Linked DNA regions of Caenorhabditis elegans. The protein of the gene in region 1 interacts with the protein of each later gene in a pairwise test. Each region holds a gene or a part of one and is shown in the gene's direction. Other genes may lie near its edges.

Region 1 (7,381 bases):
ACTTGCAAATACATCATCCACGTCCAGAACCAATTCACAGAGAAAATGGAGACATATGCATATGATTGTGAGAAGAAGCGATTCCATCAAGTCACTTGTCCAGGATTAGTATACGATTCGGAAAAAGTACAGGAGGGAAATATTTTCTTTATACTAGAGCAAAATTCCATGCAGGGAGTCGAAGTAATTATGAGAGATGATGATGGACAGCTGAGAAAAGAGCAGTTTTGTATGGTGAAGAAGCAATTCGTGAAGCTTCCGAAAACTACCGTCGCAACGTTTGCCGTGCAGATTGCTGAGAAGAAAATGAAGAATCTGCTGCCGAATGTTGAGATTTTTCTTCCTTGGCCACAAAGATTTACTCCAAGTTTGTCACAATGTTCTTCTGTTCAAGCAATGGTTATTCCAGGTTTGTGATTGTTACTATACATCATTTTTAGAAATATTACAAGACCAATTTTCAGAAACAAATCACCAATTGATTTCATCGCCACAACCGACACCATCTGAAATTGATTGAAAATCTTCTATTTTTTCGTAATTTGTAAAAAAAAATTTGTAAATTCGAACATTCTCTGTCTTTTAATATCTGAAATTTTCTTTGTAACGTTGCTTTTTTACAATAAAATACCTTCAGTCGATTTGTACTAAAACAACGTTTTTATGCCAGAATTTTTGCGCAACAATTTTGTTCAAGAGAACAACAAAAAATCAGCAATTCTATGTTTTTGAAAGAGGACAAAATGTACTCGGCGTTTGCCGCCAGCTTCCTACCCAAGGCTTCGCAACTTCTTACCCAAGCCTTGCCCAAAAAATAAAAACATTTATAAGGAGTTGCCAAGACTTGGGTAAACCTTGGGCAAGAGTTGGGCGCCGCCACAAAAATGAAAAAAGTCGTGGTCTGCCTCGTCGTTTGGAGGCGTCGCCCAAGTCTTACCCAAGTCTTACCCAAGTTTTGCCTATTTCTTACCCAATTTATACCTGTGTGTTGAACTTTGATCGCATTTCCTGTTGTTCCGAAGAATTACCTGCTGAGCCATGATGGTCGCGCGAAAAGATGCACACTAGTAATAATATATCGTACTCATATTCTGATAGATATTTTTGAGGAAGTATCAGACATATCTGATTGATACGGTATTCTCACATACCTTATTTCATATGTTTTCAAGTGTGCTCCCTAATGATTCTAAGTTCAGAATTTACAGAATTACTGTAATTCATGTTTGTTTCATGTCTTTCAATTTTATAAAAGTTTACATTTCAAAGGAACAGTTCAGTCTTAGAAAAATTCAAAATTTGATGCATAGGATTGACTGACTATTATTTGACTATTGGACTGACTAGGAGAAGAATCATCCTGAAGATAACTTTTCTTTTTATTTTTAGATGAATTAAATGGTTTATTAGACAAAATGGCAATAAAAATCAAACTTTGATCGTACATTTTTTTAAACAATGTTAGCCATCAGAGAAAAATATTTAGAATTTGCCTTTGAAGGGACAAGTTTTCCTGTGAATTCTTTCAATTACATTGAAATTCCTCTATTTTAAATACAAATTAATCAAAAGACAAAGTGTCGATTTACGCTAAACATTGCGCATGCGGGATTTCGGAATCTTGTTCGTTCTTTACATCTGCAAACTTGGGTAAGAAGTTGGCAAGACTTGGCTAAGACTTGGGCAAGACTCGGGCGAGGGAGTTTACACTAGAATTGTTGAAGTTGGGTAAGACTTGGGCATACGCTGGGTTAGAAGTTGGCAAGAGTTTGGTAAGAAGCTGAAAAGGCCCAAACTTGGGAAAGAAGCTGCCGGGAATTGCCGAGTACATATGCGTTTTTAGTTTTTGTAGGTATAAACATTTGAAATTAATTTTTTACCTCTTTTTGAAATTTTGAAAAATTGATAAAGTCCCGACGGTCTCCTTTAACTTAAAAAAAACAAAATTTAGGCCTTTCTAGATTTAAAAATTCAATTTATCTCTCTTTTATTATATTAGTAATCTCTTACGGCTCACGTTAAGCGATGTGCTCCGAAAGCAGCTACTGGAAAGCCGCACATGGCTGATTGGCAAACAAAAAGCGGCTGAACAACCGTAGACGACCGACTCAACGGCCAAACAGCAGATGGAAATTCACTTTATTCGAGACTTTCTATGGCTTATTTTATTGTTTTCCAAGTATTCTGAGCCAAATGAATGAAAATACGTAGAATTTTGCAAGTAGGAAAAACGTTTACAGTCGGCCAAAATTTTGTTATTTTCGACTAAAATAATTTGAACCGCTTTTGTTATTTCTGCTTTATCTCTAAATCGAACCAAAGGGAAGATTTTGTGTTTTTTGCGGTGTCTTGCGGGGACACATAATATTTCCTTCAGAGTCAGTCTTTCCTTTAATCTTTTCTCAGCTCTTTTCGTTCCCCAGCTTCTCTTATATTATGTAGAATTTATTTTCAGACAACTATGCCGGACCTCCCAAACCTTAGACGTTCTGACCGTAAACGCAGGCTTGTTGAGATACTAGACAGATACTTTCTCAACACTCCAGCTAGAAATGAAAATGTCGAAGTTCCTGCTCTCACAATTCAAACCAACGAGTCGGATCCACTTCCAAGTCTTGCTCCAATTCTCATGACGTCATATTTAAGACATACCATATTATAGCTCGAGGGCCCTCAGAAAATTAGATTTTTACAACTTTCAACACTTTTCTCATCCTTTTTACATTCCACAATGAAACTCACTTAGACCATTTTTTCAGGCGCCAATGTCGGACTCTAACACTCCAAACCCTCCAGGTACCGAAGAGAGACTTGTTCAGCAACTGGACAGTTACTTCTCCAATACTGCGACTGGGAATGAAACTGGCGAAGCATCAGCTCCAGCGGCTCCTAACAATGCGGCTGGAACTTCAGACCAAGACCGTCCTCCAAACCTTGCTCCGATCCTTATGTTGTCATATTTGAATCATTGTATGTCGAAAAAAAGTTTTACGCCTGAGGACATTCAAAAATCTGTTTGGGAGCAGAAATCTAAAAAACTGTCACAGGAAGATTGGGAATTTTGTAAATATTTTATAAGTAGCAAGGAGCTCCTTCTACAACTGGTATGTTCATTAATTAGCTCTTTTGTATATTTTGAAAATTTTCAGGCTCCTGGAAAAAAACGTAAAACTCAAGCACAAGCTCTTATCGAGCTCATTCTCAAAAAGTTTCCTGGTGTAGGTGTTGAAATGCTAACACGACTTCTCGATCCATCGGAATCTGCATACATCATTTATGATGTAATTGAACAAGTTAAATGTGAACCTAAATGCGATGCTGAGTCTATCAAGCAAGAAGAATTCATGTATAGCCAGAAAATCAATAAGGTAAGCTCAATTTGAACCGCAATTATTCTAAAAGCTCATAATTTCAGAAAATCCGAGAGAACAACAAATGTTTCAAGTTTAGTATGGTTTTTGAACGACTTCGTAACGGCAGTTCTCTTCCCGAAGAGAAACCATTTGCTCCTCTAGAGTTTAGAACAATTACATCTGAATACTCGAATATCTACACACAAATGGTCAAAGCAACGACATATGTTGAACTAATGGATGTAATGTCAAAGCTTAAAACCACAAGATTATCAGTTAACGAACTGTATTTTTCTGCAAAGCATATGCAAAATCCAGAGAAGGATACTCAGGATGAATTTTGGGAGGCGGAGTCAGAGAAAGTTTTGGAACTGCAGCCATTAATGATCGACCCACAACTCGAATCAACGAGCCGACAGCGTCTTAAGGTTGGTTTTGTGCCGAAAAAGAGATTTTGAAATTTTATGAATGGTTGCTGACAATTTTGGGGTTCGGCAATTTCGGCAACTGTCGCTATCAATGTCAAACACTTTTTACCTCAGAAAAAAACATTCAGAGAGCCAGAAAAATGCTAAAATTTCTATGTAAACGAAAAACCGACCATTTCAACAAAATTATATGTTTGACCAATTTGGTTGCCGGTTACCAAAATCACGGTTTTCCTACAGCCCTGGACTAGTTCTAGTTCTAAGATCTCATCACATGATTAAACTTTTCAAATTTCAGATTCTCCAAGAACTTGCCCTTCAACAGAAGATGTTGAAAGAAGTTGATGAAATTATCTCAATGAGCTTTGAGCTTGTCACTAAAAGCTTATCAACTGGGAATCCACACAATCCAGCAGATGTCCAATCACTAATGATTAACTCAAACGCTCCAAGTATTCCAGGTACGTAGTTTGAAAATTGGAAATTATAAAAACCCAGTTCCAAAAATACAGATCAAAGAAAAAACGACTGGATGGAATATTACAATCTCAACCCGCTTGGCCAGTACCCAATATCAAGCCACTTCCCAAGATCAGACAGAATAGGTCCTAAATTACCAGCAGTCATTCAGAAAATTTCAATTCGTTATTGCTTATCGAAAGAAATCGAAGTTATTGAGACTATCGACGAATGGAAATGCCGCGAATTCTGCACGTATGATCACAATTTGAAGGATTTCCGACGACACAAGTGTGAGATTTGTGAAGTTGAAGTTCAAGAGTGTGATTTATCTCTGCGTCAGACAAAATGGTGCTCACATATTGAGGACCAAGTGCTCTTAATGTATAATAGAGTTAATGGACGACTGGAACAGTATGTATTTTCATTCGAAACAAAAGGATTCAAAGAAGTGTACTGTTCATGCATTGAAGTCACCTATAGAGGAAAAAATGGACCTGAAGAACCAGTGCTGCTCACAAATGGAAGTGAGCACGTAGTTATCAAGGAAGCAGATCCCGGAGTTGTAAAGCTGCAGTTAGTTGGTGAGAATCACGTGGAGATTCCCGCTGTCCCTGTTCAACAATTGTCCGCAGAAGAAATTGAGATGCAGGATGCTTATGACAGCTCTAGTGAGTCTGGTTCAGAATCCGAAGTGGAATCAGAATCTGATTCAGAATCTGAATCTGAGTCTGAACACGAATCCGAACAAATCTCATACAACAAAACCTTCATAAGTACTCTACCAATGTTCAAAGTGCGACATTGTCCCCTCTCCCGAAAAGATGTGCTCTACGTTCGTTCAAACAATCTTGGTCAGTATGAGAAGTATGATTATCATCCAACATACCACCGGTTCGAGCCATTTAAATGCTCAAAATGCAAAGACGCCACATCGGAAGATCACTTGGTTCCAAAGTATGCAGAGCACTGTCCGGAAACCAATGAGTTTGTGATTCACACGGAGAACTTGTTCACAGAACGAATGGAGCAGTATATTTATGATTCGATGACCCAAGGATTCCGCCAAGTTTACTATCCACAGTTCCTCTATGATCCTTCCAAGGATCATACTTCGAACGTTTTTGTAACTGTGAACTACTTGTCAACAGTTATCACAAGAGACAAAGATGGGAGGTTCAAGAAGGAAAAATTCTGCGATAATCTGAAGAAGTTTGTGGCGATTCCCGAAGTTGAAGTGAATACTTTCACTGTGCAAGAATTGGAGAAGAAGAAGAACAAGCGTCGCGTGGATTCGGATTCGGATAGTTTCGAGCATATCGAAATTCCAGACATGGTTTCCGCGTCTCCATAAGCTTACTGGATTGTGATCTTTAATTTTGCTCAATTTTTCTACCTTTTATCTAATTTTCAATGCGTTTCAATATTTGTTTCAAAGCCCAAATAAAGTTAAAGTTGAACCAATTGAACTGTTTTTTAAAAAAATACCCAGTTTTATAGACAGGATTTATTCTAGATACACGTGGTGCTAGGCTGTCCCACTATAGTTTGAGCTACAAAAAATGCGGGAATTTTTTGCCAAAAAAATGTGACGTCAGCACGTTCTTAACCATGCGAAATCAGTTGAGAATCAGTTGAGTCTTTTACCCCGCATTTTTTGTAGATCTACGTAGATCAAACCGAAGTGAGACACTTGGACATCACGTGGAGATACGATTCGATATAATATCATCAACTTTTTACTTTGGTATTTGGTCTATGCCATTCAAAATTGGTACTATTAGTATCTACAAAATTGTCTACTGCGCCATGTAGTTCTAATATTTTTCATTAAAAGTTAATGTCAAAATATAGAGAAATACTTGAATAATCTGAAAACTAACTTAATTTCAGATCATACGAATTGAAAAATGCTCAAAGTTATAAATTGCCTTAAGATTTCCGGCTGAAATAAATGTTATTTTCGGATAAATCAAGTGATTTTCTATAGTCTGAAATTAATTTTTAATTGAACATTTTGGGACAATATGGTGCAATAGGTCATATTGTAGGATTGCCGAACTTCGAAAAAAAAATTTAAAATTTATTCGTGGAGTTCGATTTATTTTTTTGAGAACGTGGAAAATGAAGAAAAAAATTTTTACACTCAGTTCAAAAAAAAATTATTAGTCATTTCTACATTTAAAACAAGATGTGCTCTCTAGATGATGTGGTTTTCTCGGATAGAGAAGATGAAAACGACAATGACGAAGAAATCGAAAAAGAAGAAAAAGAAGAAAAAGAAGAAGAGTATGAGGAATTAGGTATGCTAGTTATCGAAAATCATTCCAATAAAAAAGAATCGAACGAAAAGTTCAAGCAGATTATGGAATATTGCGAGTAAGGGTCTTTTAAACGTTTCTATGCAATAAATTGCATTTTCAGAAAGACAAAATCTACATTTGTAGATAAAGAGTTTCCACATGAGCCCAAGTCTTATATGACTTTTGAAGAGGATTAGGACCTCATATGGGAAATATGAGGTTTGTTCAATAGCATTTTTTAATATTTTGAGCATCATTCCTGACGTTCGAATACATAGTTTCTTCGTGTGCTATCCCCGCTTCCTGTAAATTAACGAATTCTAACAAATTTTCAGAGTTGGAAAACTTGGTTTTACCCGAAAATCTGACGTCGATTAGCCGTACCTTTCGCCGACGTGTCATCCAGTTTGTCAGTTTATGATCCATTGACTTTCACCGCGTACGAGGTGTTCCAAAGAAAAGTTGGAGATTGTGGTCTTGTTGCTGCTTTGTCTGCAATTTCCACAAAGCCTGAAGTTATCATGAACATTTTTGATTCACTGCAACTATCGAAATACGGTGTGTATAAAGTAAAACTGTTTGTGGATGGTCAATGGAAAACTATCATCATTGACGATTATTTTCCGTATACAACAGATGACATGAGAATCGGAGCTACCTCTGGAAAACAGGTAATAACTTTCACTTTAATTCATTAAATTGTATATTCAACTTTATTTTCAGATATGGGCAGCGCTTATTGAAAAAGCTCTTGCTAAGGAACGTGGTAATTATAAAGGAATCACGGGATTTCAAAATCAGTCGGCATTTTCTGCTCTTACTGGATCACCTGTGTTGT
Region 2 (7,288 bases), 1.9 Mb from region 1:
CATGTTTTTCTAAAAAATTTCGTTAAAAATAGTCTGAAAATCCCAAAAATAACGCTATTTTTCAGGAAAAAGTCGAGTTTTTCGTGGAAAATCAATAAAATTTTAGAAAAAAATTAATAAAATTCTGTTTAAAAAATCAATAAAATTCTTCAAAAAAATCGATAAAATTCCAGAAAAAATCAATAAAATTCTAAGAAAAAATCCAAAAAATTCTGTTAAAAAAATCGATAAAATTCTGAAAAAAAAAGTTTTGAAAAAATCAATAAAATTCTGGAAAAAATCGATAAAATTCCAGAAAAATCAATAAAATTCTGTAAAAAAATCAATAAAATTCTGCAAAAAAATCGATAATTTTTTTTGTCACTTTTCACCCAAAAAACCGAAATTTCAGGCTGTTCGAAGTGGAAAAACCGACGTAGAATCATACATAAAAGCTCAAATCTCAAAAAGTGGGCTCTCGGAGCAAGTAGAAGCCAACCGGAAAGAGCAGAATTATGTGGATAAACCAAATAATAAATTCAAAAAATTGACAAAAGAGGAGAAAAAAGCACAGTGGGAAGAGAGACGCAGACAAAAAGACACCGAGAGAGCAGAGGATGAGGAGAGACGCAGAGAGGCAGAAGAAGACGAAGATGTTTCAGATGAAGAAAGTGATGAAGATGAAGAGGAATTTGAGATTATTGGTACGGAAAAAAGGATGGAAATGCTCAAATTCAACACGAAAAGCTCGAAAAAACGACCGAAAATCATGAAAAATCGATGGAAAAGCCCTGAAAATTAATAAAAATTAAAATTTCGACGAAAATTGGCTTAAAATTGCACATTTTTAACGGAAATTTTACAAAATTTGCTATAAAACGCCGAATTTTGGCTGAATTTTCTCTGAAACATTACCAAAAAACCTACGAAGTTTGGACTAAAAATGTGCAAAAATTTGAAAAAAAAAACACTGAAAATTCAGCAAAAATCCACATGAAAATTGTGAAATTTTCGCCAAAACTTGTATTTTTTGGATTAAAATTCTGAAAAAACACTGAATTTATGTATAAAATTTCGAAAAAAAAACCTATAAAAATTTTGAAAAATAAAATTATTTTCAAAAATTGATAAAAGACGGAAAAATGATGGAAATGGCCAAATTCACCACTGAAATCTCGAAAAATGGCTGAAAAAGACCAAAAATCTTGAAAAATCGATGAGAAAGCCCTAAAAATTGCAAAACTTCGATGAAATTGAGCTGAAAAACCCCGAAATTTGACTGAAAATTGCACATTTTCGGTTGAAATTTCGCCAAAAATCGCTATAAAACGCTTAATTTTGGCTGGAAAATTACCCAAAAACCCTACGAATTTTGGACTGAAAATGTGCAAAAATTTGAAAAAAACACTGAAAATTCGGCGAATTTTGGCCGAAAATCATATTTTTGAGGTGAAAATTCTGCAAAAATCGGTAGAATTTCAAAAAAAAAAACCAATAAAAATTTGAAAAAGACCAAAAATCGATGAAAAATCGATGAAAAAGCCCTAAAAATTGCAAAACTTCGATGAAATTGAATTTTGGCTTAAAATTGCACATTTTTGGTTGAAATTTCACCAAAAAATCGCTTTAAAACGCTGAATTTTGGGCAGAAAATGTGAAAACATTTTGGAAAAATCGATAAAATTCAAATTCTACAAGAAAAGCTCGAATAATGACTGAAAAAAACCCGAGAAATCATGAAAATTTGATGAAAAACGCCGAAATTTGGCTGGAAATTGCATATTTTAGACAGAAATTCTACAAAAAAATCGCTATAAAACGCTGAATTTTGGCTGGAAAATTACCAAAAAAAAACCTACGAATTACGGACTGAAAATGCGAAAAAATTAGAAAAAAACACGCAAAAATCCCATAAAAACCGTGAAATTTTCGGCAAAAGTTGTATTTTTTTGGATAAAAATTCTTTTAAAAATCGATAAAATTCTTTAAAAAATTCAATTGTTCCAGGAACACCAGAACGTGAAGCCCTGGTGCTCCGCGAGCACTCATCAACTCCGCCTCCCGAGGAGCTCCAAGAGCAGCTTGAAGAGCCCCCAAAAATCCCAGAAATTGGGCTCATTGAGCCCCCAAAACCATCAATTCCAACAACACCTGGAGCACCATTTGGAGCATGGCAACGTGTCGAAAAAAGTGAAAAAACGACGGAAATATTCGAATCTCCACTAACTGCACGATTCCGTGAAGAAGAAGAAGAACGGAAGGAGGAAGAAGAGAAAAAGAGACAAGAAGAACCGAAATTTGAATTTGGAGAAAAAACTGCCAGTGTTATGACGAAAAAGGTGCTGAAATTGAGCATCTCCTCGAAATTTGGAGCTAAAAAGCTTCTTGGAAAACGATAAAAATAGGCTTTTTTTAAGACGGAAAAGCTTGAAAATACCATGAAGAAACGTCTGAAATTGAGCTTCTCCTTGAAAATTTGGAGCTGAAAAGCTTTTTGAGCTTCATAAGGTTGAAAATCACTGAAAATTGGTTTTTTTGAGCCGGAAAAATTTAAAAATTTAAAATTTTCATTTTGGAAACGAATAAAATTTCCTTTAAAACTTTTTTTAGTTGAAAAAGAAAATTTTTTTACTAAAAAAATCGTTAAAATTATCAGAAAAATCGATATTTTCCCGAAAAAAATTGATAATTTACTGAAAAATCGACAAAATTATGTTTTTTGAATTAATAAAATTCTAGGCAAAAAAATCGATAAAATTCTGAAAAAATTTTTTTTGGAAAATCACGAAAAAACAATATTTTTCCCGCTGGAAAAGTAATAATTCGACGATTTTTCATTAGATTTTTTTCTCACTAAAAAAATTCCCTTTTTTCAGGTAAAAGGACCGATCGAATTCAAGAAAAAGACAGCAAATCGGAATATTCGAAAACGAGAGGAATAATTTAATTTTTTTTTTCTTGTCACTTATTCCCTGTAATATCTGAATACATTATTGATTTTTCGAGAAAACTTTTTTTTTAAAGTTTATTTGGTCACTTGTAAATATGTCAATTATACCTTTTTCAAGTTTTTAGCGCAAAAAATTGGCTAAAAATTTATTTTTCAGTCGAAAAATGCCGGTAACGGAAGTTGGCTCACTGCCAGAGCTCAATAATATTTTGGAGGTGAGCAGGACATTTTTCTTTGAAAAAATCAATAAAATTTTATTTTAAAAAGTCAATAAAATTTTAGAAAAAAATCGATGAAAATTCTGTAAAAAAATCAATAAAGTTTTGAAAAAATATCGATAAATTTCTGAAAAAAAATCGAAAAAATTCTGAAAAAAAATCAATAAAATTCTGCAAAAAAATTTTTAATTTTTAATTTTTTTAATTTCCAATTTCCAGCGTTCCGATGCGAATCGTCTCATAATTATCGATTTTTTCGCTAATTGGTGTGGCCCGTGCCGTATGATTTCTCCGATTTTCGAGCAATTTTCCGCGGAATACGGAAATGCCACGTTTTTAAAGGTCAATTGTGACGTGGCAAGAGGTAAAAATGGGTCCCGCCACGAAATCTTGTTTTTTCGGATTCAAAAATGTCGATTTTCCGCCGCGAGTTACGACGATTTTAAGTTGGTGGTGGCCTCGTTTTTCCAATTTCTAGGCCGCCAAGTTGAAAACTAGGCCCTAAATTTATAATGTTCGTGTTCAGCTCGCCGAGACCTTTCAGTTGACACCCATCATGCCTAGGTTTGGACGATTTTGAAATTAAAAAAAATTCGGAAAAATTTCTGGGTCCCACCACGAAAATTTTTTTGAAGGCGTTTTTGTATGTTTTCTAAAAGCTTTAAAAAATTTGCTAATGCTCGAATACTTTTCTTTGAAAATTCAAAAATATTGATTTTTCGTCAAGTTACAGCTATTTTATATTGGTGGCCTAGAAAAATCCTAGAAGGTTTCTAGGCCACCAACTTAAAACCGCCATAAATCGCCGGAAAATCAATATTTTTGAATGCAACAAAAAGTAATCGATAGGAAATTAAAAACTCAACTCTTTAGTCTGATAAATCGGTGGCCTAGTTTTTTCTAGGCCACCAACTGAAAAACTAGGCCACCAATCGATTTTTGCGTTTTTTCAGACATTGTCCAGCGGTACAACATCTCCGCAATGCCGACATTCATTTTTTTGAAAAATCGCCAGCAAGTCGACATGGTCCGCGGAGCCAATCAGCAGGCAATTGCCGAAAAAATTCGGCAACACTATTCGCCAACTCCGGCAAATCCCAACGCGGCTTCTGACTCGGAAAAGCGATTTTTGGAGCAATTTGTCAAATGTTCGAACGTACCGAGAAGCTATCAGGATGAGGTGTTCAAGGCTCTGGCGAGAAGTGTTATGCCTGAGGAGCTGGTGGGAAGAGCCATGACCGAGGGGCCGAGGGATGAGAAGGCGATTTTGAAAGGTGCAAGAAGAAAATCGAGAAAATCGAATTCCCTATCGATTGGTTTTTTCGGATCGCGAAAATGTTGATTTTCAGCCGAGTTATAGCCGATTTTTAGTTTGTGGCCTAGAAATCCAAACCTAGGCCACACTACCTCAAACTTCAGATAGACTTCGAAATTTCCTATCGGATGGCTTTTGGTTTTTAGTCCATTTGAAAATATCAATTTTCCGCGAAGTTACAGCGTTTTTAAGTTCGTGGCCGAGGATTTTCCTAGGCCACCAACTTCAATTCACCGTGACTCGGCGAAAAATTGGAATTTTTGAATTCTGAATAATTTTGTGATATCAGCACGAGTTGAAAAAGAAGAAAGGAAAGATAAAATTAATACTTTCAGTACATGGCCTAGGTTTGGGTTTCTAGGCCACCGCCAGAAAAAGTTAGGCCATAACATTGAAAAGTCGATTTTTTGCGGAATTCCTGTACTTCCTGTACCAGTTTGATTTTATTTCATTTAAGAATATCGATTTTCCACCGAGTTACAGCGTTTTTTGGTTGGTGGCCTAGGAAACTCCTAGGCCACCAACCTTAATTCACCGTAACTTGGCGGAAAATTCACTTTTTTCAATTCTGAAAAGTGATTTGACATCAGCACGAGTCAATCAAACATACAAATTTGATACATTCAGTGTTTCCTCGGTTTAGATTTCTAGGCCACCGCCGGAAAAAGTTAGGCCACGAATATAAAAAGTCGATTTTTCGCCAAATTTTCATCGAACTTCGATAACACCCATCATTTGGATTATGTTTCATTTGAAAATATCGATTTTCCATCAAGTTACGTTGATTTTAAGTTGGTGGCCGAGGAGTTTCCTAGGCCACCAACTTAAATTTACAGTAACTCGGCTGAAAATTGGAATTTTTGAATTCTGAAAAGTTATTTGATATCAACAAAAGCCGATAATTTGATATATTGAGTGCGTGGCCTAGTTTTGGATTTCTAGGCCACCAAATAAAAAGTTAGGCCATCAGTTTAAGACGTAAATTTTCGCTTATTTTACAGTAAATTCCAATACTTTATGTCAAATCTAATTCTGCGCCATACAAAAATAAAAATTTTAAGACAATTTAACATGTTTTTAAACTAGTGGCCTAGGAAAATCCTCGGCCACCAACTTAAAATCGCCGTAACTCGGCGGAAAATTCACATTTTTCAATTCTGAAAAATGATCTGATGTCAGCGAAAGCCTAGTAAGCCTATAATTTGATATATTCACTTTATAGCCTAGTTTTGGATTTCTAGGCCACCAATTGAAAAGTTAGGCCATGACTTTAAAAACTCAATTTTCGCGCGGGTTTTAACTAATTTTTCAATTTTTCAGACCTTCTCCACTGGTTTAAAACTCAATTTTTCACTTGGTTCGACCGTCCAACATGTCCCAAATGCACCCTAAAATGCTCAACCGACGGGCTCCAAGGGACTCCAACTCGGGAAGAGCAAAAAGAGGGCGGAGCCTCACGTGTTGAAGTTTACATTTGTGATGGATGTAATACGGAAATGCGATTCCCGAGATATAATAATCCGGCGAAATTGTTGCAGACGAGGTGTGAAGCCTAGAAAAATGTGGCCTAAAAAAATTGCAAATTTGCGAAAGTTAGGCGATCCATAGGATAGCCCATGAAATTCCCTATCGATTGGATTTTGAAAATCCCAAAAATATTGATTTTCCGCCGAGTTATGGCCATTTTTTGTTGGTGGCCTGGGATTTTCCTCACGGGTTTCTAGGCCATCAACTTTAACCAGCCATAACTCGGCGAAAAATCGATATTTTTGAAATCTAATCAATAATCTGAACTGAGCTTAACTAGATCTTCAAAACGGTACCAATTTTGCCTGGTTTACTGTAGGTTTCCAATTTTTCGTGGCGAGACCCAAAATTTTTTGCGAATTTTCAAAAAAACTAGTCATGATGGGTGTTAAATAAAAGCTCTCGACGGGCTGATTACGAATTTGAAATTTTCGGGGTACTAGATTGGTGGCCTAGAAAATCTGGAAAACTAGGCCCCCGGATAATTTTTGTCAAAAATTTAAAATTTCGGTTTTTTTCGTCCAGAAATCGACAATTTCTTCAAAAAATCTATAATTTCTTCAAAAAATCTATAATTTCATCGAAAAATCAATAATTTCATCGAAAAATCAATAATTTCATCGAAAAATCAATAATTTCATCGAAAAATCAATAATTTCATCGAAAAATCAATAATTTCATCGAAAAATCAATTATTTTAACAAAAATCAATAATTTCCACAAAAAATCGATAACTTCATCAAAAAATCGATAATTTCATCAAAAAATCAATAATTTCATCAAAAAATCAATAATTTCATCAAAAAGTCGATAATTTCAACAAAAAATCAATATTTTCATCGAAAAATCAATAATTTCAACAAAAAATCAATAATTTCATCAAAAAGTCGATAATTTTACCGAATTTTCCACAACAAAAAAATCAATAAAAATTATCGATTTTTTTTGCAGAACGGGCCGCTGCGGTGAATGGGCCAATTGTTTCGGGCTTCTGCTTGCCGCTCTTAATCTGGAATCTCGCTTCATCTACGATACAACTGATCACGTATGGAATGAGGTCTATTTGCTCGCCGAGCAACGTTGGTGCCACGTGGATCCTTGTGAAAATACTATGGATCGACCGTTACTGTATACCCGTGGATGGGGAAAGACACTGGGTTACTGTATTGGATACGGTAGTGATCATGTGGTTGACGTCACTTGGAGATATATTTGGGATTCCAAAAAATTGGTACAGAAATTATTGATTTTTTGAGAAAATTATTGATTTTTTGAGAAAATTATTGATTTTTTGAGAAA

What was found.
Region 2: the proteins of ZK1053.3 (region 1) and png-1 interact in a two-hybrid assay, tested with the Caenorhabditis elegans proteins (one large-scale study listed by BioGRID).

The regions. Positions count from the first base shown.
Region 1 is NC_003279.8:13,244,088-13,251,468, forward strand, and holds ZK1053.3 (LisH domain-containing protein), read left to right. Parts: upstream 1-2,765; coding exon 2,766-3,104; intron 3,105-3,149; coding exon 3,150-3,368; intron 3,369-3,415; coding exon 3,416-3,781; intron 3,782-4,079; coding exon 4,080-4,242; intron 4,243-4,293; coding exon 4,294-5,594; 3' UTR 5,595-5,691; downstream 5,692-7,381. Other genes in the region: ZK1053.4 (SET domain-containing protein), read left to right, coding at 1-409, 465-520.
Region 2 is NC_003279.8:11,377,145-11,384,432, forward strand, and holds the start of png-1 (Peptide-N(4)-(N-acetyl-beta-glucosaminyl)asparagine amidase), read left to right. Parts: upstream 1-3,086; 5' UTR 3,087-3,093; coding exon 3,094-3,144; intron 3,145-3,366; coding exon 3,367-3,511; intron 3,512-4,100; coding exon 4,101-4,421; intron 4,422-4,477; exon of another isoform or gene 4,478-4,548; intron 4,549-5,782; coding exon 5,783-6,005; intron 6,006-6,940; coding exon 6,941-7,220; intron 7,221-7,288. Other genes in the region: wbp-4 (U1-type domain-containing protein), read left to right, coding at 392-683, 1,987-2,318, 2,856-2,921. UniProt on the Caenorhabditis elegans protein: Specifically deglycosylates the denatured form of N-linked glycoproteins in the cytoplasm and assists their proteasome-mediated degradation. Cleaves the beta-aspartyl-glucosamine (GlcNAc) of the glycan and the amide side chain of Asn, converting Asn to Asp.